Struthio camelus: one gene and its partners. The protein of the gene in region 1 interacts with the protein of each later gene in a biochemical or structural test. Links are inferred from orthologs where the notes say so. Each region holds a gene or a part of one and is shown on either strand. Other genes may lie near its edges.

What was found.
Region 2: the proteins of COL1A1 (region 1) and THBS1 form a complex in vitro, tested with the Homo sapiens proteins (2 studies listed by BioGRID). The link is inferred for Struthio camelus from reciprocal best matches to the Homo sapiens genes COL1A1 and THBS1.
Region 3: the proteins of COL1A1 (region 1) and SPARC form a complex in vitro, tested with the Homo sapiens proteins (2 studies listed by BioGRID). The link is inferred for Struthio camelus from reciprocal best matches to the Homo sapiens genes COL1A1 and SPARC.

What each region holds. Positions count from the first base shown.
Region 1 is NC_090966.1:4,762,041-4,769,024, reverse strand, and holds the start of COL1A1 (collagen alpha-1(I) chain), read right to left. Parts: upstream 3,053-6,984; 5' UTR 2,763-3,052; coding exon 2,681-2,762; intron 947-2,680; coding exon 752-946; intron 529-751; coding exon 494-528; intron 385-493; coding exon 349-384; intron 215-348; coding exon 122-214; intron 36-121; coding exon 1-35. UniProt on the Homo sapiens protein: Type I collagen is a member of group I collagen (fibrillar forming collagen).
Region 2 is NC_090946.1:47,519,117-47,526,982, forward strand, and holds the start of THBS1 (thrombospondin-1), read right to left. Parts: upstream 3,076-7,866; 5' UTR 2,832-3,075; intron 2,630-2,831; 5' UTR 2,605-2,629; coding exon 2,538-2,604; intron 1,765-2,537; coding exon 1,187-1,764; intron 748-1,186; coding exon 672-747; intron 419-671; coding exon 222-418; intron 32-221; coding exon 1-31. UniProt on the Homo sapiens protein: Adhesive glycoprotein that mediates cell-to-cell and cell-to-matrix interactions.
Region 3 is NC_090954.1:13,125,950-13,133,988, reverse strand, and holds the start of SPARC (SPARC), read right to left. Parts: upstream 3,024-8,039; 5' UTR 2,710-3,023; intron 1-2,709.

The DNA of each region.
Region 1 (6,984 bases):
TCGTCGTATCCGTAAGACATTTGAGGAGCGAAGTTCTGCGGGGAGGAGTGAGAGAGAGGCGTGAGCATCGCGGGCATCGCCGGCGGGGCCGAGCGGGGCCGAGGGGCTGCCCGATACTCACTCCACCGAGGCCTGGAGGACCTGGAGGGCCTGGGGGTCCCGGGAGGCCAGGCTGTCCAGGGATGCCATCTCTGCCAGGGGGGCCGGGGAGTCCCTGCGGGGAGAGCGGACACAGGGGTGAGCGCGTGCCGGCGCTGCCCCCGTGCCGGGATGCTCCGAGGCGCGGATGGGAACGGCCTCGGAGCTGTGCCGCATCTGGTCTGGAGGAGCTAGGCTGGAGCTACCCACCCTGTCTCCTTTGGGGCCGGTGTCTCCCTTAGGACCCTAGAGGGGAGAGGAGAGACGGGTGGTTAGAAAATGATGGAAGAGAGCAAGGAAATAAGGAGAACTGTTTGGGAAAGGGTTTTTTTGGGGAGAGGATTGCAGTGATTACCTCTACTCCAGCGGATTCTGGGTAGACGGGGGAGGCTGGGGAGAAAGGAGAAGGGTCAGTCGGAGGAGCCGAGTCTGCGCCACGTTTCTACCCACCCCGATCCCCGTCCCACCGGGGCTGCAGCCCCTTTGGGGAAGGATGCTGAGCTGGAGGGGGGGGCAGCGCGGGGGCCCCCCGGCAGCGTCGCGGCGAGCCGAGGCGAAGGCGCCCCGCTGCTCGCCGCGGCACGGGGACGCGCGCGGGGCCAAGGGTCAGTACCGTCGGTGTCGGGACAGATGGGGCAGCATTCTCCGAAGGGGATCTCAGCGTTGGGGCAGTCGGAGGTGTCTTCGCAGATCACCTCGTCGCACAGGATGTTGCCGCTGTCGCACACGCAGATCTGGCAGGGCTCGGGTTTCCACACATCCTTGTCGTTGTATGTTAGTCCATCTTGTATGCAGCTTCCAGTTTGAACTGGGGAAAGAGGGAGACGGGGAGGGGAGCGTGAGGGCGCGAGAACCGGGGCACGGAGTGAGCCGCTGAGATTTACGCTCGCGCTCGTCCACAGGCGTTCGCCTTTCCTTGGCAAGTCCAGCACGTCCTTTTCCTTGCGTTCCCCCCCCCCCTCCTCTTTCCCCCCTCTCCTGGAGCTTTTCTCCGTTCATCTGGTTCTCATCAGCCCATCGCGGTGACACAGGAAAAGCACCACCACAATAAACTCTTCCCACTTACTTTGGAATTTAAACAAAACCTCCAGCCAGTTGTTACGTCCAACTGCAACCTCGGCCTGCGGGAGCCCAGGCCAAGGCAAATAAGCCCCCGCGCCGGGCTGGGGGCTCAGAGGCGGTGGGGAGGCCGGGAGCCACTCGCGGGGGGCGCCGGGGAGGGGATGCTGGAGCGGATTCGGGAAGGGGCTTGGGGAAACGGGATCACCAGCGGGGCTGGTAAAGCAGCAAGTGCGAATTAGGGGCGGCTGGACGGCGGGCCAGGTGGGCTGGCTCGACAGCTTGGGCTGAAATTAGATCCAGGCGGGTCCGGGCTAGGGCTGGATCAGGCCAGATTGGTTGCGCCGCCGGCGAGGGAATAACGTCCAGCGGATGGAGGCAAGCGGGGGGACGGCGCGTGCGGAGGGCAGGGCAGAGCGCCAGGGTGGAGGGCTGGCACCCGAGCGGGGCCGGGCTCCCAGCGAGGGGGGCGCGAGCCAGCCCCATCCCGCAGCCCCCCGCTCAGCCGGAGCCGCTTCGGTGGGAAACAGCCAAAAAAAAAAAAAACCAAAATGACTAAATTGGGGAAATGCCGCAAGCTGCGGCCACGCTGCCCCGGGGACCCGCGGGGGTCCCGGCGGTGAGGCGGGGGTGCCGGGCTGTGCCCCCCACCCCATCCGTCACCCTCGGGGGGGGGTCGCATCCTGCACCGGCGCGGGGCGAAACCCCAGCGCGGCATCCCCGGGGCGAAGGGGGCTGTCCGTGAAGCGATGTCTAGACGGCCCCGGCTTTACGGGCTGCTAAAACATTTTCCTTATGAATCATCTGAGACTTTTCTAATTCTTTCCTGATGGCTTTTGCAGATCCCGGGGCCGGCGGCGGCGTTCCCCCCCCCCCCCGCCCCACTCCTCCTCCTCCTCCTCCTCCCCTCCGGCTCTTCGAGGCGCACCGTCGCTCTCCCGCTCGCTTGCCCCCCTTTCCCCAGCTCCTCCGCCCCTGCTTCCCCGCCGTCCTCCCCTCCTTCCCCGCCTGCTCCTCGCTCCCCACCCTTTTCTCCTTCTCCCAACTTGGCACCGAGTCCCGGCCGGCAGCATCGTTCCCAGGCGCCACCGGCCCTCCGGGGCCAAGGCCGGAGGGCGACGGAGCCCGGGGCCGTGGCGGAGCGCCCGTCCCATCCCGACCCCGGCCGTCGGCATCCCGGCGCGCACCGCCCCGCAAAGCCGCCGCGTCCCGCCGCTCGCTTGCCTGGCGTTTGGTTTGGTTGGGGGTTATTATTTTTTTTTGCCCCCCACCCCACCCTCCTTCTCCCCCCACCACCCCGCAACCCCCTGCAGGAGAAGAAGGACCTTTTCACGGCGACTCCTCTGCCGTGTCGCGGAGGGCGGCGTGCGGGAAGGGGGGACGGGAAGAGCGAGGGAAGCGTCGAAGCGGCCACGCGTCGCCGGCCGCTCGAGGCCCCGTCCCGCCGGCGGAGAGAGCGCGAGAGCGAGCGGCGGCTACTTACTGTCTTCTTCTCCTTGCCCGCGGGTGAGTAGTACAGTCGCTGCTATCAACAGCAGTAACCGAGAATCCACAAAGCTGAACATGTCTAAATATTAGACATGTAGACTCTTTGGGCCTCTTTGTTTCAGAGTCGGGTCATACAGGGCTGCTCTGACTGTGTAGCTCCAATCCGGACCCCAGCAGAAACTTCCTACTGCCTTTCCCAGCGCCTCGCCTGCCCTTTTATACGGTGCGGCGGCGGCGAGAGGTGGGACCGGCCGCAGCCCGCGGCCCGGAGCACGGGGAATTTTGGACAGCCCCTCGGCCAATCAGCGGGGCCCGGCGCGCCCGGGGTCCGGGCGGCACACGCACACGCACACACATGCACACGCACAAAACCCCCCAAGCGGGGCGGTCGCTGCCGCGCAGCCCCGCGGCGCCGCCGCCGTCGCCCCCAGGGTGACGGGCGTCGAGTTATTTTTTTGGGGGGGGTTGGGGGGGTGGTTGGGAGCCGTGGGGCTGGATTTTGGGGAAGGGGGGGTAGATGCATTGGGGTGGGTGGGTTTGCGGCGGGGGGGGTCACCCATGAAGGGTCCTGGGAATATCCCAACGCCGCCGGGCGGAGCGGGCACGGGGACCGATGGGGACGGCCCTCCCCTCCGCTCGCCCCACGCGGTCCCGCGCGACGCCAGGACGCCCGGGCCACGCGGACGCCCACCCCGGTCACACCGCCGGGACGTGGGGACAACGTTGCACAAGCAAAACCCAGGGTGGCCCTGGCATCCCCGACGCCGGGCGCTGACGGGGACCCCGGAGCCACCAAACCCGCTGCTCGGGGCTGCTCTGCTTGGGGTTCTTTTTTGGCTTGCTCGCTTTCTATCTCCGTTTTTCTTTCTTTCCTTCCTTCCTTTCCTTCCTTCCTTCCTTTCTTTTCTTTCTTTCTTTCCTTCCTTTCTTTTCTTTTCTTTCTTTCTTTTCCTTTCTTTCTTTCTCCCATTCTTCCTTCCTCCCCTCTGGCACGCCTCCATGACTGTTTCCACATTTGAAGAGCCACGTTGGTTGGAAAAAGAAAAAGCTCGCTGACAATAATCCGCAATACACTGTGCAATTTTGGGAGGGTGTAATTACACGCCAAAAAAATATATATATGTGTGTGCATGTGTGTGTGTGTATATATATATATATATATATATATATGTGTGTGTGTGTATTTTTTAGCGGGGCCGTGGCAGGCGCCTGGATCTCTAGGGCAAAGGGGGACGGAGACCCCCCGGTGCGGGGAGCTCTCCGCACGTCCCCCAGACGTTGTGGCATACCGGGGTGGAGGGCAGCTCGATTTTAAGGGTTTTTTGGAAAAATGCGGCACTGAACAGCCCCTTTCCGTGGGCCCAGCCAGCGGCCGAGGGTGCGGGCTGGGCGGTCTCCCCGCGGGAGTCTCTGGGGCCCTGGGCACTGCTGGGGCTCGGGGGTCCCCTCCCAGGGCTGGGCAGCGGCTCGTTGGACCCAGGCGTCCGGGACGGGGCTGTGGGGAGGGTGGCAGCTCCCGGGGAGCGCGGGGGGCCGCCCCAGCAGGGAATGGGGCTGGGGGCTGCCGTTGCGCTCGGGGAGGGGGACCGGGAGCCGCGAGGCAGCGGGGTCCTACCTTGGCACCCACCGCCCCCCCCCACCCCGACCGGGCCACGCCGCAGGGGCTGAGCACTTGCAAACTCATCGGCCTGCTGGGTCGCCAAGTGGCTCCTGCCTCGTCGAAAAGCAAACCGCACACGCGCTTCCCCCCGCTTTAAGCGCCCGCATCCGAGCAGTAGCCCTCAAGGAGAGACCGAGTTATTTATTTTTTGGCCGGGGGGCGGGGGGGGGAGGGGATCAAATAATGCAATAACAGGGCGGGGGGTGGGGGGGGGGGGGAAGAGACACGTCGAACTTGAGAGCAGAAAAAGGCTCCGCCGGTGACCTCTCCAGGTCTTTTTTTCCAGCCTGCGATTAAATGCAAAGAAAAAAACCGCGGCAGAAGGAGTTATCTGTGCGAGTTGCACACGCACGCACGCACACACACACACACACACGCACACGCATGCACACGGAGCAGCTGGCCAGCTTTCAAGCCTGTATCTATGCATCCGAGACACGTTGCAGGCGAAGACTCCTCCAATCATGCCTCTGCGACTCGAAAACCCCTGGCCGCGCTCCAGGCTGAAGATGTGTCTTTAATTTTTGCAGCATGACAGAAAAGAAAAGAATGTCATCGTTTTTTTATATGCATGTAGCGCGGGAGGGAGGAGGGGGGCCAATGCCACCTCATCAGCCCCGGCCGCCCGCCCGAGGAATGCAGGAGGGTTTCGTGCAGGGGATGGGGGCTGGGGGGGAATGAGAAGAACGAGGGAGGGGAAAAAAAAGAAGAGAGAGAGAGAGAGAAAGGGAAGAAATCCCACATTAAAAAAAATAATAATAATAAAAGCCTGGAAAAGCCATCAGGATCCTAGGAAGCAAAACGGGAGACGCCAGCCCCAGGGCCTGGGCCTGCCCCGGCTACTGTGGGGTGCAGGATGGGGGTCCCTCCCTGCTCGTCCCGGTGGTACCCGTGCGGGGACCGTCCTGCAGCACCCGGGCAAGGACGGGGACGGGGTTTTGCCCCGCGGGTTCGGCGGAGGCCGGCCGGGGCGGCGGGATGCTGCGGGCTGTGCCCAGGGTGCCACGGCCCAGCTGGGCGCTGGGGGTCCCCCCGAGCCCCGTCCCCTCGAGGGATGCCACCCCCTTCCCGTGCAGCCCGCTGGCTTCGCTGGTGCCAACGGGGCTGGGGCGGGAGGAGGACGTTGCCCCAAAAAGTCGCAAGCGGGACCGGGGTCGTCCAAGCCGTGGGATGGAGAAGAGCAGGCGAGAGGCGGCAAGGCGCCCGTCCCGCCGGTCGTGCGTCGAGTAGGACCTACAGAAAAACACAGCTGACGGGGGACGCGGGGATGGGGGAGGCGAGCGGTGGGGCTTGTTTGCCTGCGCTGCAAGAGCTGGAGCAGACACAGGCATCTGGTGTGAGTTAACTCCCCTCGACAGCGCAGACACATGGAGCGGATTAACTCCCTTTCTTCTCTGGTTCCTCCTCGCTCGGCGGCCCAGCATCGCTCCCGCCCGCTGGCCCGGGCGCTGGCGCTGCCCGGGGGCCGGTGGGCACTCGCTCCCGGCCCCAGCCCGGCGCAGGGTGCCAGCGTCCCGCCGTGGGTCCCTGCTCGTCCTGCAGAGTCGGCTGCAGCACCGGACCCCACCGGGGTCGGGGGACCCCTGGGTCCCCCCGGCTCTGCTGCTCTAACCCCGGCTCCCAGCCTGGGGGGACAAGGCTGGAGCTGGCACCCACGAGCCTTTAGGTGATGGCTTTTGAGTGCCGGGAGGTGCCTTTTTGGGGAGCTGAGTTATTCCCCCTCAGAACCCCCCCCCCAAGAAAAGCAGAGGACCCAGGCGTCCTGCTCCCAGGACCCGCTTCGTCGACACCCCGGTACTGCCGAGCGGTTCCCCAGCACCCCGCTGCGCTCGGCACGGACCCCCCCCCCAGCCGCCTGGGTCCTCCTCGGTGCCCTGGAGGGGGGACATGCCGTACCGGGGAAGGCGGCTGCGTGCCTCAGTTTCCCTCCTCCCAGCGGGTGCCCCCCGGCGCGCGCGCCCGCAGCCCGCAGCCCGGCACCGCCCCGGCTATTCCTGGTGGCCAGCCGGCCCTCGGCACCCTCAATTGCGGCGGCAGGGCAAAACCCAGTAATCACGGGCAGCGACTGCGCCAGCTATTTCCAGCCGCCGTTCAAAGAAGCCAGGGCAATTGCTTAATTGGCCTTTGGGCTGCCAGCGAGACGCGCGGCTCCTGCGACGGGGCCTTGAGCAGCCCGGACAAGTGCAGGGGTTGCTTGGGAGGGTCCGAAAATATGTTTGCATCCCGGCGGGCAGACCCCTGAGGGTTCCCCCCTCCCCTTCCCCGGGGGTTTGTCCCTCTGTCTGCATCGCCTGAGCTTTCCGCTAGGTGAAGGGTGACGCTGGGGTGGTTTTGGGGGTCCCGGAGCCTGGCAGCCCCCCAAGAGCTGGCTGGAGGGGGGATTTTAGGAGAGTCCCCCCCCAACCCATTTCTTCCTGGGATTCGCAGCCGCCTTGCCCAGGGACCATGCTGACCGTCACCCCCAGGCCACCCGGGGCTGGCGCTCAGAGCAGCGCTGAGATTAGAGGGAGGGCAGCCCAGAGGGGGGTTCGCGGCCTCAGCACCCCGGCGGGGCTGGGGGCAGCTTTGGGGCAGGAAGGGGCATTTCCCCGCTGTTGCCGGCCGCCCCTGGCGCGCAGAGGGCAGCCCAGCCCGGGCCC
Region 2 (7,866 bases), on another chromosome or scaffold:
CCACTTTAGCAATCAGTTCATTTTCCTCAGTCTTAAGGGTGGGAGGGGGAGCAGAGAGAAGATATTTAGAACTCAATACAAAAAACATCCTTTTCCACAAAATTGATAGACCAGACCACAGTAAAGTTATTACTCCTCACCCAGGCACACAAAGGGCAAGTCAGAATTCACTCACTAAGTGAGAGTTAATGAAAGGTAACGTGAATTTAGCCAACACTCACCACTTTGCGCACTCTATCTTGAAGTGTTGTAACCATGGACCGTAGCCCTTGCAGTTCCACGAACATGTTTGTTAGTTCATCACAGGAAAAACCACAGACTGCTTGGATGTCCTTTGTTTTATGACCAATGTAATTAGTGCGGATAGCTGGGCTGGAGCCATTGATAGGGTTGTCCAATGTAATGATTGCACTAGTGGCTAAGAGACAACAAATACGCACATAAGGTAAATGCATTTTTCAACCATGTGCTTTTATCATTGCAGGGTAACACCTGCTAAACAGCTGTTACCAGATTCATTAGGGTGCCTGCAGAAAAATAATCTTATTTCTTATGCAATTTGGATTTGTATGTCAGCATACTTCTGAGTTCTGTCTCAACTTGTCCTCCTAACATACTGAGGAATTTATTTTTAATAGGTCATTGGATTCAGAAAAAGACTGCAGACTTACAGCTGGAGCAGCCTTTGTTCCTCAGAATAGTTTCCAGAGTTGTTCCAAACACAAACCGCACATTCTGCAGCAGTCCCTGTGGACAGAGGAAGAATTACAGCTACTTATAGCAACAGCAAGGGGAAGAAGCGCAACTTACATGGAAAGCATTTGTAGACACTTAACTTCACATACGATCATTAAAAGTAGTTTCACATCAGACAGATTGCAAGGCGAAACTTTGTTTTCCTCAGCGAGAGCAAGCCCTGCTTCCTAACATTCTCATCCTTGACCACAAGGACCTAGTTATTGCTGTAGGAAGTTCCAACCTTGCAGATCTGTGCTTCACTTCAAATTGCATTATTACAATTTAGTGACTTTAGTGTTCATATCAGATATACAAAAGCTGATTTGTGGTGGCCCCCCTTTTGCCATATGAGCTGCATCTTTGTAGATGTTTAGGCTGCCTGAGTAGCTGATACACCTTCAAGGCAGATGACTGAAAATACTAGCCAAAATGGAAGTGAAAGTCTTACCTGGAAGTTGTCGTTGACTCCTCCTTTGGCAATACGGAGCCTGGCACTGCTGGCCAGATCCCTAGTGAAGATGTTCTGGATGGGGATGTCGAGTTCAGCATTCTCCATCTTCTCACACCCCACATAGAGCTGAGCCCGGTCCTCCTGCACAAACAGGGTGATATTCTTCCAGTGTCCTGTAGCTAGCAAGGCATCCTCTACTGACACTAGCTGTTGCTTGCCATCACCAGAAAGGCTCAGGTCCAGGGTGCCTGCCTTGCCATTGGATACCAGACTGAAGACATGACCAGAGCCATCTTTCTGTTCCACAGCCAGCAGTGTGCCTCTACTCTTCTTGGCTTGCCGGAGAGTGGCCAGAAGGATGAAGCCCTTCTCAGCATGGATGGCATCTAATAAGTCTTGGAACTTGTCGTCAGGGACAGCTGGGATGCGACTGGCATCTTCAATACGGTAAGCAGGGCTGGAAGACTCTGGTCCCTTTACCAGGTGCACTCCTGGTGCCCGGCGCCCAGCTCCCTTGCGAATAAAGCCGATGAGTTCAAAGAGATCAAACACGCTGTTGTCATCTCCCCTTGACTCTGCAGAGAGATCAGAGCAAGCAATCAGAGGGATGAGCCCACGAGCAAGGGACAAGAGACTAAGTTAAGTGCATTTCTTCGGGGGCTACTAACACATTAGCTCAAGTTCTATGTAATGCAAGGGACAGAGCCTCATGTTAGAGCAGACACAAGCTGTGACAGTATCTCAAGTCTCACCAGGATTTGCTGTGGGGCAGTACACGTGCAGTCTTGTAAAGGAGCCAGTGGGCACAGGAGTGCCAGGTACCCGCTGCCTGACGCACAAAGATAGCGGCAGTTTTGGCACCTCATTAGGCTCTAATACAAGAGAAATAGACAGCAGAAGCCCTGGTTGCTGTATCCTAGTATGGGCATATTGCAAAGAGTGCTCGCTTAGTCAGGCAGGGTGACCACAAGCAGGGTAATTTCTCTATGGCCCCCAATACAGTAGCATACTGCCCCATTCCTTCTCCATCTAGTTCCTACATTAGATTCCTCCTCTTCTCTGCCTACCATAGAGAGGTGGATAAGCTGTGCTCTGAAGCCCTGGGGTCTCTACATTCATTTTTTGAAGTTTCCGTAAATGCCACACCAGAGAAAGTTTCCTGTTCATAACCCATAATTAGATAGCACTTAGGTTAAAACATTTTTGTTCACTGAAAGCTTTGGAGCTCCTCAGCGCAGAGCACAATTTCATCTGTCTACCCAGATATCAAGAAGCCTTTTCTTTTCACACCTCTGTGACCACTCAGAGTAACAAACCCACAGCTGCAGAGCACAGAGGCTGGTCTTACCTGCCGCCCGCTTGGCCTCAGAGACACTGAGCATAAGGAGGAGGAAGAGAACAGCCGCTGGCCCCATGGCAAAGATCTGCCTCTGAACCAACCTAGGGACACAACCACGAAGGAAGAAGGTCACCAAGCTGCCACTGCATCCAGGAACCCGGTGTTCACAGCACTGGCACCAGCAGTTCCCAAAGTACCTCGGAGGCAGGAAGGCTGCGAAGCGGGAAGCAACAGGGACACGACAGGTGCCCGTCACCCTCCGAGGGGGCACCGAGGGGGGAGAGAAGCTGCTTCAGCACTTACCTCCGGGGAGAGCGGGCCGGCGCGATCCCGGGCACACGACGGGCAGGACGGGCTGCCCGCAGCGCCGGGCACCTAGCGGCTAATATCCTCCGGCAGCCCTCGACTGTCCCGGCGAGGAAGAGCGGACACAGCAGCGCAAAGCCCCCGGGCGAGCGACGGCGGCAGCAAGGCGGCGCGGCGGTGTCAGGTAGGTGGCGTCGGTTGGGGCGGCGGTTGGTCGCGCCGTGCCGCCGGCCCTGCCTGGTGCACTGGGGGCGCCGGGCGCCGCGCGCGCCTTTAAAGGGTCGCTCACATTCCTCAAAGCGCGGCGGGCCAATCAGCGGCGGCGGGGCAGGAAGTGGGCGGCGGCGGCGCTTCGCGGCACGGCGGGCAACTTTCCACACAGGGGCGCCCGGGACGGGGCGGAGGGGCCGGCTCCCCCCGCGCCGCCGCCGCCGCCGCCGCCGCCGCCGCCGCCGCCAGCGGGCGGACGCTGCGGCCGCACGCGCACCTACCTCTACCTCCCGACGGGCCGCGGCGCTCCCAGCCCGCCGCTTGGGGGCGCCCCGCGAGCTCCTATGGCGGCGGCCAGGGGGGCGGCGGCGCCGCCGCCGGAGGCATTATCTCCTTTTATAGCCAGCTCCCGGGCCGCGTTCGCCGCGGCCCCGACGGCCGCCCTGCGGCTCTGCCTCGGGCGCCACTCCGCCAGCGACGGCCGCCGAGGGCTCCCCCAAGCACCCCCCGCTCCCGCTGCCCCGCAGAGCTGGGAGACGCGGGAGCGCCCCCCCGCCGCCGCTGGTGCGGCCCCGTCCTGCCCTCCCCGCCGGGCCACGCGGGCCGCCCGCAACCCCGGCGCAGGGCCGGCTGCGCCCCCCCCGCCCGGCCGCCCCGCTGCCGGTGCCGGTGCCGGTGCGGGCGGCGCCGGCGCCGCTGGCGATGCCGGTGAGAGCGGCGCGACGGGGCTGGGCTCGCCCGGCCGCCGCCGCTGCCGCCGGGCACATGGGGCGGGCGGCGCCTCCCCGGCCCCGCGCCCCGGGCGGACCGGCCGCTCCGCCGGGCCCGGGCCGGGGCGGCCCGAGCAGGGGAGGTTGCGTTTCCAGGGTTAAAGCGGCCCCGGTGTCCCGGTACGCCCCACGGAAGCGATCAGCCTCCTGCTCTTGCCGCCCGCTGGCAGCGGTACCCGGCTCCCGTGGCTCGGGTCCCCGCGAGGGGGGGAAACGCAGCCCCCCTTAGGGCTTGCCGCTCGCCCGGGGGCTTGGGGGGGCGGGGGGCAGGGGCCGGGGCCTGGGGGCCAGGCGAGAGGAGGGGGTGTCGTGTGCCCGCGCCTTTCCCCTTCCACCCGGTCACTGGAGAAGTAGCTCGGCCATGGCCAACGGGCGATGGCTTAGTGTAGTGAATAAACTGACTAACACCTCGCTTCAGCTGTCACCTTGCGCTTCTCCCTGTCGTCCGAGTTTCAGGGGAGAGGAAAGCTGCTCATGGTTAAAGGGGCAGGCCCTCTGTGTCCTGTCTGCCCTACTCCCTATGACCAAAAGTGACTGGAGTGGGTGAAATTGTTTGGAAGTGACTGGATTCCAAAAATGGTTAATTCCTCTGCATTCCCCGGGCTTTTTATATTTGACGTTTGCTCCTGTGGAAAGCCGAGTGTCATTGAGCGAGGAGAATCTCGTCAGTCGGTTGCGTGTCTGGTGAGGGAAAGTTGGAGTGAGCTTGGCAATCTCCAGCCGTAATTGCACTGGATTCTAAACTAAGCTGAACTGTGTAAAACGCATCAGGCAAGCGGACTGGCTAATGTACGAGGCATTAGTGCTCTACAGATTATCCCAGGAAATGCCTTGGGAAATTCTTGACTCAATGAATGAGATAGCTACAGAATTGTATATATTGGGTAAAGCCAAAATGTTTGTCAGCCTTTTTAATTTAAGAGAGAGAGTATACCATCTGAAGAAGGCCTTTTTGTTATGTTCATGCAGGAAGAACCTCCAGTCCCTCAAGATTAAGAGCCAAGAGAGAGAGAGGGAGATGAGGAGAGCACTGCCAGGGGAAAAAATACAGAGAGAGCAAGAAAGAGAGACTGACTGATCCTACCTGGACAGAATTAATTGACAGGTGGTTGTACATTGTTCGTGTTCGCCCCGCCAAACCCTTCATATACTCATTACTTTCTCTGATTGTCTCACAGAAATCTAAGGGACAGCTGTTTATATGAGCTCGTATCTTTAAGGTCAGAATGTTACTCTCAAGCTTTTCTTCATGTGGAAATAAGTCAAGGATAGAGATTAGAGTAGAAAGGCCATAAGAAAATTTCAAAAATTTCCTCCCATTAAATGAGGAAGTTGAGGCAGGCAACCAGGAACTGTCCACTCCGAAATGAAAAATAACGCTCAAACTTTATCTCTTATTTCATCCAAAAGTGTGTGGATGAACCTATAATCTTATCTCAGAATATTCCCTCTTGATTGTTGTGAAAGGAGGACTTTCTTATTGTGAAATCCCTGTAGCCTCAGTGAACTATGATTCTGAAAATGAGTTGTTCAGCGTTACCATAAGATGCACTGGAGCCCAAATAGAAAAACTCGAACTTCCTTAGATTTTTTAAAATATTAAAATCTAGATCCAAATTTTGTAGTTTGGACCCATCTCTAAATCTTAAGGAATCTCTAGCAAGCATCTTATTGCCCCAGAAATACAGCACAATCATGGGGGCCAAATTTGGTCCATAATTTTAGCATATTCTTCACATCTAGGTCCAGCTTCTCATCATAGCGTATATACCTAGCTCTGTTGATCCTTCTGGAGCTAATACCGATTTAAACTCATATAGCCAATGTCAATTTGACACTTAGCTTTGTTCTAGTAGGCAAGAGATAACTGACTTGTTGAAACTGTTTTAGTGGATTTTATTTACCTGTTATCTTTTGGGTGTGTTAAAGAATGTGAGCTGTGCTAAAGCTAGTAGCCCAATCCCAGGAGTGCCTGGATGTTTTTTATCGTGGATTCTTTGGTCACTCTCTTATTGTGAATCCTGGAACCACATGCTTCTTACTTCCTCTTGAATTTGGAGTCCTTTTCACTTTCACTGAACATTCATTGCAGATTATGTTTGCAACTCTGAAGCTTATGTCTGAACTTAAAACTTATGTTAGTATAGCTGTATGTAAGACTGTAAAAAAATTTTTAAAGTAGTCAATCAATGCGGAAAGTATGGTTTTAGTCTAAGGCAAGCCACAAAAAAATGTAAAATTGACATAATAAAAGGAGTGAATTTCTCTCTTGATAAGACCTTCTGCCTAGAATCTCTTTAAAATATTATCCCCAGCACACAGAATAAGAATTTTTTTTTTTTTTGCATTTAAAGTTACATACATAGAAAATGGAATCTTAATAGCCTGTGCTGAAGCTGTAATTCAGGGATAATAGAACCGACAGCGTACATCGGAACAGTGTTACTGAGATGCGTTGTGTTAAAACAGTTTACACCAGATTGCTTATCTGGTATGTTTTAGTCACACTGAAGGAAAGCTTTAAAAAGATACAGCATATCTTTTGCTAAAAGTAGAAAATATATGAACATACAAATATAAATATATAAAACATGAACTTCAGTGAACAGCACTGAAGATAGAGAGCGTCTATTATTATTATTTTACAACTTAACACAGCTCTAAAAAGTTTTTATGAAGCACAGAATTCTTTTGGTTTGTTTTGGGTGGGATTCATTTTGCCTACCTTCTGAGTTTGTTGGTTAGGTCCTTCCTGTACAAAAAAAAGAGAGACAGAGGCCTTTTCGGAAGTCTATTGATCTCATTTATTTTAGGACAGATGAAACCCCTCCTAGAGGTGCTCTCTGCCCCTAGGAGGAAACAGGTGACGAGTTTAGTTTGAGTGGCTGAAGTTGAATGAGAGGGATCACACATTTATCACTTCCTGTGGCATATTTTCTGTTGGTGTTTCTTGTGCTATCAGTAATGGTTAGCTCCCGAAGGAAATAGGTACACCTATTGGAGAGGGGGAGATTTGTGTGCAGGGCATAACCCTTCCCCTGCGGCATGGAATCCAGCAGATGATTGTTCAGCAAATCTATCATCTCTGTGAAAGGGGCACTTTATGTAAATTGCGATACAAAAATGTTTCTTTTTCCAAAATATATTGGTGTATGTGTGCTTGACCAGGGTATCCTGCTTACCAGTGTTCTCTGTTTGCAGGCGGGTTCCCCATGCCAACCACATCTGCAGGCTGCCTGCATACAAAAAGCAGATCGGATGTTTTTGTCTTTGAAGTTCTTGCATCGAATGCAGGCCTGTTTGCCTACCAAAAAAAACGTGTGGAAAATTGCAAATGTTTGATTAATGGCTAGCATATTGAACTAAGTCCTAACTACTGAATAAGCAGAGATATTTGCAGTTGAATTTCTTCTGAATCATAATGTTGGCAAAGCACATTTGTTTACCACTAGTCAGATTTTGGTGTTGGCAAAAGGTAGTCCAATTTGCTGAGAAGACTGTAATCTAAAGGAATTAACTGTAGTGACAGGATTTTCTTACAGGACTTGCATATAAGGTTGTACTACTGTTATACCAGGGAAAAAGTAAAGCCAGTCAATCATTTTTAAGCTTTTTCCCTAGTAGGAAAAATCAGTTTTTTTAAGAAATAGAATTTATCATCAAGTATAAAGCAAAAAATACTCCTCCACTCTGCTCCTGAAACCTGAAACATTTACTGTCCTTCAAAGTTCCGATTGGTTTGCTTTGTCTGTGAAGGAATAAAGAGAAAAAAAAAACAGTATTCCCTATCACTTCTTCATGTACTTGCTTTGTCTGCAGTGGATCAAAGGTAACCTTAGATATAGGCACCTAATCTCTGCTTCAGCAAAGTATTTCTCGTCAGTGAATCATCAGAGCATGAATTCAAATTCGAGTGCGTAGTAGAATTTCTTGCTTTCATTAGAACTCAGAACATTATTGCAGATTTGCATTTTCAAATATTTTGCTCAGCAGAGGAGAGAATACGTATTATGTTTATACATTTACATACCGGGACCTTTGATCCCATGAAG
Region 3 (8,039 bases), on another chromosome or scaffold:
GCGGGGCAAACACCCTCCCTGTGTCTCAGCTCCCCACCTGCACTATGGCTGTCACAGCACCCTTCCACTGCCACGCAGGGTGCAGGCAGCAGCAGGGCCACGTGTATTCACCAGCAAGTTGCTCATTCCTATTGCAAGACTCTGCAGAGCCTGAAATATATCCCAGCACCTCAGACTCAATGAAAAGGCAGCACAGGTCCAGAAGAGGCTATTGCCTAGAAATCCCACCACGGGCCAAGTTTTCAAGGTGCAGACAGGTGAAGAAATTAGCCATTACAGAAACCCAGCGCAACCAGCTGGCTGGCCCCAACATAGCTATGCAAACAAGACCCCGTTGAGCTGTATTTAGCCAATCCCTCCTGGTCTAAAATTCAGTTTGAAGACAAAGCTATTTGTGTGAGCCCCCATAGAGCTCTCTGCTGAACAGGTTCCTGCTTGTCCAGCCATGTTCCTGGGGATGTCAGAGCACCCCGTCGCTCTGCAGCTGTACAGCCACTTCATTGCACCGGGTGTCAAGAGAGCAGGGCAGGAAATCAGGATTGGGCAGAAGCCAGCCTAGCTCCTGCCACCTGTGCAGCCCCCCAGAGCTCAGGCACAGCTTATAGGCTTACGTATCCAAGAAAGTATTAGATGGAAGTGAAATTCCCTTTTACATGCAAAAGGGAATTTCACATACCTTACACATACCCACTTACACATACCCATTAAAACACAAGAAAAAAAATCTATCCACCGTATCTTTCCATTCAGAGTAGCTAAAGACATGTCTGCACAACACTGTGCTGTATTAATCCATTGCCCTTGCAGGGAGTTGGTAGAGCAGCCGTGATTGTGCTTGTGAGTGTGCCGGGTCTTTACTGTACTCAGAGAGGACAGGATAAGTGCCCCATTACCAGTACAGTTATATGCTGGCTTGGTGCTATCAGAATTTAACTCTCTAGGCTGTACATTGCGTTCATAAAGAGAAACAATTAAATCAGTAGCAAGAAAAGTGCATGTATGAGATCGGAGCTACAAACACCAGAGAATGACTTAGCTCTTCACAGACTTCAGTCAGAAGGGGAAGCGATACAGCATTACGCTGTCTGCCTAAGGTTTTTTTTGTTCTTTTTTTTTTTTTTGGCTTGGCCTGGACATGTGGACATGGGGGTCACGCCAAAAGTAGCCTTGCTCCTCTGTGAAGTGCTGTAAGTAAGGACCCTGCTGTGCCAGGTGCAAGCGGGTCCCTCCGGCTCCCGGAGGTGTTAGAAAGCTGATCTCTCACTGATGCACAGCCCCGCAAGAAAACAAAGAGAAGAAACCGGCGGCTAAACATCCTGCAAAAACGCGAATCATCTTCAAAGCGTTCCCTGAACGCCACAGCAGCCACAGCAGCTCCAGCGATAACAGCCCCAACATCCCTCGCCCAGAGGACCCAGAAGGGGTTTCCATGGGAGCCGACATTCCTCCGCGGCTGAGTCATGGCAGAGCAAAGGGCTGGGGAAGGAGGGGCTTGAAAAAAGTTTGAAAAGTTTTTCTCCGCTCCCCCTCCCGACACCGCCCGCATCCCTGCTCCTGCCTATGTGGCAGACAATAGCTCGGGCTTAGCCGCTTCGCAGAACGCCGCAGCCTTTGGTTCCCACTTAACACTCGGCTGGTGCAGCCTACCAAGCCGCTGCGAGCTGCTTTGTCCTTTCGATGGGGGCTGTTGTGGGGCTGTTTCAAGTCGGTGGTAACCGAGCGGTCGGAGTGCAGGCGACCTTCGCGGTGTCCCCGATTTCACTCCAACTTACAACTGTTGCTGGTCAGTTTGGGTGGGAATTAAGCCACCATCCTATTAAGTTTCCTTTTCTTGGCTGTACGCAACATAGTGGAGCTTTTTTAGAAGAGGGATACAAAGAGCAGAGTTAGGCTGCTATGCACGTCAGGACAGGGAAAAGACAGCTGCTGCCTTTAAAGGAAACAAGCCCTTGGCTTTTTTGCATGGACCTAAAATTGTGTCTGACTGATCCTTATTTTCAGTCTCTTTAAACAGACAAAAGAAGAGCTTGGTTCTTCACTTTTTTCTCCCGCAACCTTCATCTCTCTCTCAAGCAGCTGATCAGCTGGATTTATGCAAAATAAGGCAGGAGGACCTGAAATGATTTCAGAGTCTGCCTGGAACAAAAAGCCTGGTGTCTTTCTCTGCAGGAGAAATAAGAATGGCTGTACTTAAAAAAAAAACAACAACAGCAACAAAACCTCTAGGAGATAAAGTCAACAACGTTTTTGTTCTTTCTCTAGATATTCTGGTGAGTAAAATATCAAATGCCAAAACACCTCAGACTCTGTGCATAATGCGCGCTGGTTTACAACTAAATCTGATTTGCTGTGCAGGGTGGTTTGACGTGCCCAGACGTTGGTCTAGCACCTCTCCCAAGGGCAATACCCCACAATGTAAAACCCGGAGAGGAAGAAGGGAGAAGAGGGAAAAATTAGGTCAGGTTTTAAAGCCTTAAAGTCAGCTGTCACCAAAATGCTAACGCTGGTAATGTGGCAATGAAATGCAGTAACAGATGCAGCTGGGAAGAGGAGAAAGAGAAGAAGCTCAGCAAGGTCCTTGGGTGAGTGGTGGGCTGGTGAGGTGCAGAGCTGGGTGCTCATGTGGGGGGCCTGCGCGAGTGGGCTGGGGAGCCACCACGCCAGGAGAAAGAGCATCAGGAAGGAAAAGAAGAAGGTTTCGGGCCATACCTGACAGTGCCGGCAGCAGGGCTGAGGAAACTTCAGGCTCTTGGAAGGGCTGGGGGAATCTGCAGGTTTTAGAAGGAGGCAGCAGGAAGCCAAACTGTGGGCTGGGTTTCCTGCTGCCTCTCCTCCTCCTCGCTATCTTTCCAAATCTGTCTCTTCCTCTGCCCCACTCCCCAGTGGGCTGTCCCACCCCCTCTCACTGCCCTGGTCCCGAAAAAGAGTGAGGCACAGCTTCAGCTCTAGACTAGAGAAATCAAGAGGTGCTGGAGATAAACAGGGTCTCTCGCAGGGAGAAATCAGTTCCCAGAGCACTTTTGTAACTGAGGCTTTGTCACAGTAGCTGCTTGTACTGCTGTGACTAGTTTTTTGGTTCTCTGGATCTCTCTCGGACTAACAGTATCAGGGGAGCGGGGAGGAATGCTTTCTTTGCACAGCTCCTAGCACCTTCATCCAGCACAATAAAAACTGTCATTTCACAACAGACCAGTTCAGTTCCTGGGCTGGTGTTTTCCATCCTTGGGGGATACGGAGGAAGCTAGGAGAAGCGTCCTCACTCCTCCATCCTTTCTCCTGACACTGTTGCCATCTGAGACTGCCTTGTGAAGAGGGAGAGGAAAAAATGATCCCCTTTTTCCAGCCTGTGGAGAGTTATTACATGTCTGAAATATGCTCTAAAGAGCCAGGGAAATGCTCAGCGGGGAGAAGTAACCCCCAGCACGCTGATCTTTCTGCTGTGGTTAGTGGTTATTGTCCAACAGATCTGATCAGCTGGCACTGACTGAGTAAAACTGGTGGCCTGGAAATTGCTGGTCCATTGAATCTGAGGTTCTCTTCAGATATGGTTCAGTATTTTGACCTTATAGATTATAACCCAGTCAGAGCAGCCAAACAGCAAAGCCGTTTGGGGTTGACTTTTCCCATCTGTTCCTCTGCACGCTAAGGATGAAAACCTAGCTCCCATTTCCTTGCATTTCATCACGGCAGAGGCAACTTAAAGTTCATCTGACCCCCGGCAGAACCAGACAACGTGTCCTTATGCATGGCAGCATGGCCATGGTGCCACATTGTAGGGAAAAAGCAGCAGGCAAGAAGTGAGGTTGTTAAGTTACTGGAATTAGGGTATCCCTAAGGGACCTGACTCTATAACCTGTAGGGCTTTCCTGAGTGCTGCAGACAGTCCAGTTCATTAGCAGCTTTTTGCAGCTCATTGTCTGCCCATGGCAGCATCCATCCCTTGCTGAGCCTGAGTGGCTCTAGTGGGGTCACCTGGCCAGGCAAAGCGAGGTTGCTCTCCCTGGGGCTGCTGGAGGGACAGTGGCTCACATTGCAGGCAGGGCTGAGGACAAGTTGTCTGGGCACTAGGACTGTGATCCTGGGTGCTGGGTGAAGAGGACACAAGACTCATAATAAGATGTAACGCCATGTGTTTGTCTCGTCTGCCTAGGTTCTGGGGTCATTCCTCTGGGTGATTACACGCTGCCTTCAAGAGGGAGGTGGACACTTAACTCCTCATACTGAAGTTACTGGGGATTTAGATGTCATCACAGGAACAGGCCTGCCAGGATTTGCTGAGCTCTGTTGGCTCTTTGCTCTGGTGGAGGCCTATTTGTGATTTAGAATTCCTCATCAGCACACGTCTTGTCCTGCTGCTGCATGTGAAAGAGACAGATGTAAGAATAAACATCAATAGGGCCAAAAAGAAACAAAAAATAAACAAGATCAAAATAGAAAGGGGAGAGGGAAGAAAAAGATAGTAGAGGGGGCCATGAAGAACCCATCATCACTTTCCAATGGGACTGTGGATGTCTATGATCAGGCAGGCCAGGACGCTGGTGGTGAAGAGCAAGAGAAGAAAAAGTCTTGTCAGGTCACTGTTTTAAATCCTGGGTCCTGAAGCGTTTTAGGCAGAAGGCAGTAGCGAACATACCAGGAGGTGGGACCCTGTGGGGCTGTGTCCCCCCATTCTCCACTCCATGGGTTGCTCCTGATGTGGCACCTGGGTCGTAGTTTGCGGTGGGAGTGGTTATGCTGCTGTGTATCACTCTGTCACTCATGACACCATCCAGGCACAGAGGAGCAGTGAGATTTCTCTGTTTGCTTTGAGAACTGGGGATGAGGAGCTGGAGTCATGTTGTCAAAGGGCTTAGGAGCCTCAGGCTGCCTGGAGATGCCCAAGAGGATGCGTGAAAAGCATCTTGCTCCCACTGAAGAGCCACGAGGAACCTGGCTGTTTTTTTACACACTGTTCAAAAGCCATCCCTGAGTTCTGATGTGTGGATGTTGATATTCCTTATACAGACACCCCACCGGTCTAGGGTCTGTCTGAAGGTCAACTTTGTGATGGTTGATAAGACCATGTCTGTCTTGTTAACTCAGCTGGTCACTTGTGGCGTCTGGATGTCTTCTCTTCCCCCCATGGGTGTCCACAGCCCCCATGTGTAGCTTACATGTAGGTCCTTTTCAGCTGCAGAGGTCACCTATCCCCTAGGTTTGCGTTTCATTCGCTTGGTGCACACCCCGAGGAGTTGAATGCTTTCTGCACTGGATTAGTCACGGCTCGCATTGAAATCATACAGCTGCTGGTACTTCTCCTAAGAGAGAGAGAAAAAAAAAAAAGACATCTGGAAAAAATTTTAAGGGGGAAAAAAAAGAGAAAAGAAACCACGTCTTTTCTAACTGACAACGTGGCAATTGCTCAGTGCTCTTTAGTCTAGCCTGACGCTAAGCCCTTTTCTAAGAAGAAGCAAATGACAGTGCCAGGAAGATAATTATAACAGGGTTTTCTTTATATACGTGGCGGCTTAAACCTTGGTCTTGAGTGAAAGCAAAAAGCAGCCTGCTGCAGTGGTGCAGTCACGTTTGGAGATGGCCCCTGAGCTCTCGGCTATCAGCCCCGGGAATGTGCAGAGTGAGGGGTCCTCACAGACCTCCTGCACGTGGGGGGTTAACCCAAATAGGAAAGAGGCCTTAAGCTGCTGCGCACATCACGGGGGAGAGCCCAGGTCCTACAGCTCCCTGTGCAACAGGCACGTTGCCAGGCTTGGTTTTGTGTTGCCAGCTGTGGGATGAAGGGGGATTGCACGGAAAGAGAAACAAGAGCCTGGAGCAACTGGCAGTCTCTCTAATCTCAGCAGCTTTAAGAAGCTTCTGAGATGACTGAGAGCTTGCAAAAAAGTCCTGGAAAGTCCTCCCCACGCTTATAAGGCTTAGACATCAAAGAAGAGACTTTGATGTCAGGCTGCCAGGAGAAAAACTGAACCTTACACATGCTAGAGGTTTCTCTTATGGCATCTAAAGCTCAGGGAACTGGGCAGGCAAAAGACGGCCCAAGAGGGCCTTGTCAGCCCTGAGACCCTACACAAGGGGGGCTGTGCTTTGCCGTGCGAGCCTGCCTCGCAGGTCGAGATTGCGATCTCTATAAGCAGTGCCAATATGTGTTTCATACACAGCTCCTGAACCCCAAGCTGCCTTTCACTTACTTCCAGCTCAAGTGACCTCACAAACGCAGATGGAAAAAGCAAATAGGACCAGACCCCTTGAGACTTGAACTGAGTGTATAGCAAAGCCAAGACATTTGCAAGGCTGAGGTTTGAACTCAAGCTAACCTCAATGCAAAATCCAAATTCCTTCATCCTCTTTTAAGCCTAGTTTGACAGATCTGGGCTGGCACAGTTAAGAAAACCCTGGTACTCTCCAAGATGGGAGCAATTCTGCTGTAAGAGAAGGACAGAAATACAAGTGAGCCACTTGATGGAAGTGATACAAGTGGGGATTAATAATCCTGCTGTATCCTACACTCAGATCCTTCAGTCTAAGCAGCCCTTCCTCCTTTATGCCGTGGGAGGGATTTTCTAATGAGTTTTTCTGGAAAGGATGATGTTCCTGCATTAATCACTGGTGGATGCTACAGTGAAACAATGAACCCAAAGTGCATATAAATAAACAGAATGCCCTGGAATCACTGTAGGAATGTCATTAAATAAGTCTTTGTAGATTAGCGTGTGGCTGAAGGCTGTACTCCTCACACACACAGGCTGCTGTGTGAGCAGGATGCCTTTACTGCAGTGTGGGAAAAGCAAGGGCAGTCGGTAAGGCAGCCCAGCATCCTGCTCAGGAAAAGGCAATTGAAATGAGTAAGTGCAGAACAGACAGGCATCTTGCTTATCCTAGGAATGTTCCAGCTCTCCAACTATCTCCAAAACCCAGGAGTGTGTCATCAGGTATTAGGGGAAGGTTTCTCGCTTTTTTCCGTTTCAGAAGGGGATCAGAGGACTGGGCAAAGGACTGTGGCCTCTGCATTTACATTAAAGCAGATGCATAGCCACCATTCAGGACTGGAAGCGCCTTCTGCACAGGGTAGGGTGAACCTCAGCCATGCCAGGAACTTGCCCCAGGCTGGCTATCTTGGTCCTAAATGGGGCAGGGACTTCTCTGTAGTGGGATAGGGCTGTCCCTCCAGGCTCAGTGGTAGGGTTGATTGCCTGTACAGATGGAGCAGACTGACACACCATCATTTCCCCAGGCCTCTGCCCCTGCAGGGTGTCTTTGAGTGCTTGGCCCGGGGAGCCTGAGTGAACTCCTCAAATGGGATTGGGGCGAGCTGGCTCAACAGGGTAGTGCAGGCGAATGGGCTTCTGGCTCTGTGAGAAGCAGAAGGAGAAAGAGGAGGGGATGTCATTGTTAATTTTCAGCTGCAAACCGGAGGCCTGCAGGGCAGGAGGGAGGGAAGCCAGCTGTGCATGGCTGTGCTGTGAGTCACAACCTGGGAGCAGGCTTTGCTCTGGAGCCTAGAGGCAGGACATGCACTGCTATGGGATGGCTCGCTGTTTCCATGGTGTTCACAGGATCTCAGAGCCATCCCCTGGGATCTCCAGTGGAAGGCACTTCCCAAGCCTTTTGGGGAGGGCTCTCTCTCCTTTAGACTACCCCTGCAACGTGCACTGGTTTGCTTGGACACCTGTGGGGCTGCAGGCTGAGTGTATGTATTCTCCCTGAAACAAAGCGAGCCCAAAGCAGCAGGAGAAAAAAAACCTGTTGCCTTCCTCAGCTGGGCTGGAGGCAGCTGCCGTGAGAACAGGGAGCTCTGTGTGCTGCAGCTACCGGCTGTACCGCCCTGGACGCAGGCTGGATCTCTAAGGACATCATGCCTGTACATCTCAGCTGTTCCTACCTCTCTGTTATGTCCGGAGCTGGGTGGTGGATACACTTGCCTCCCACCACAGGTCCCCACCAGATGCCTGTGGCAGATTTCCCCAATGCACTGCCTGGCGTGATCACACCAAGAGATGGGACAGGTCTTCAGCTGGTGGAGGGGACCAAGAGTGACAGCCTGT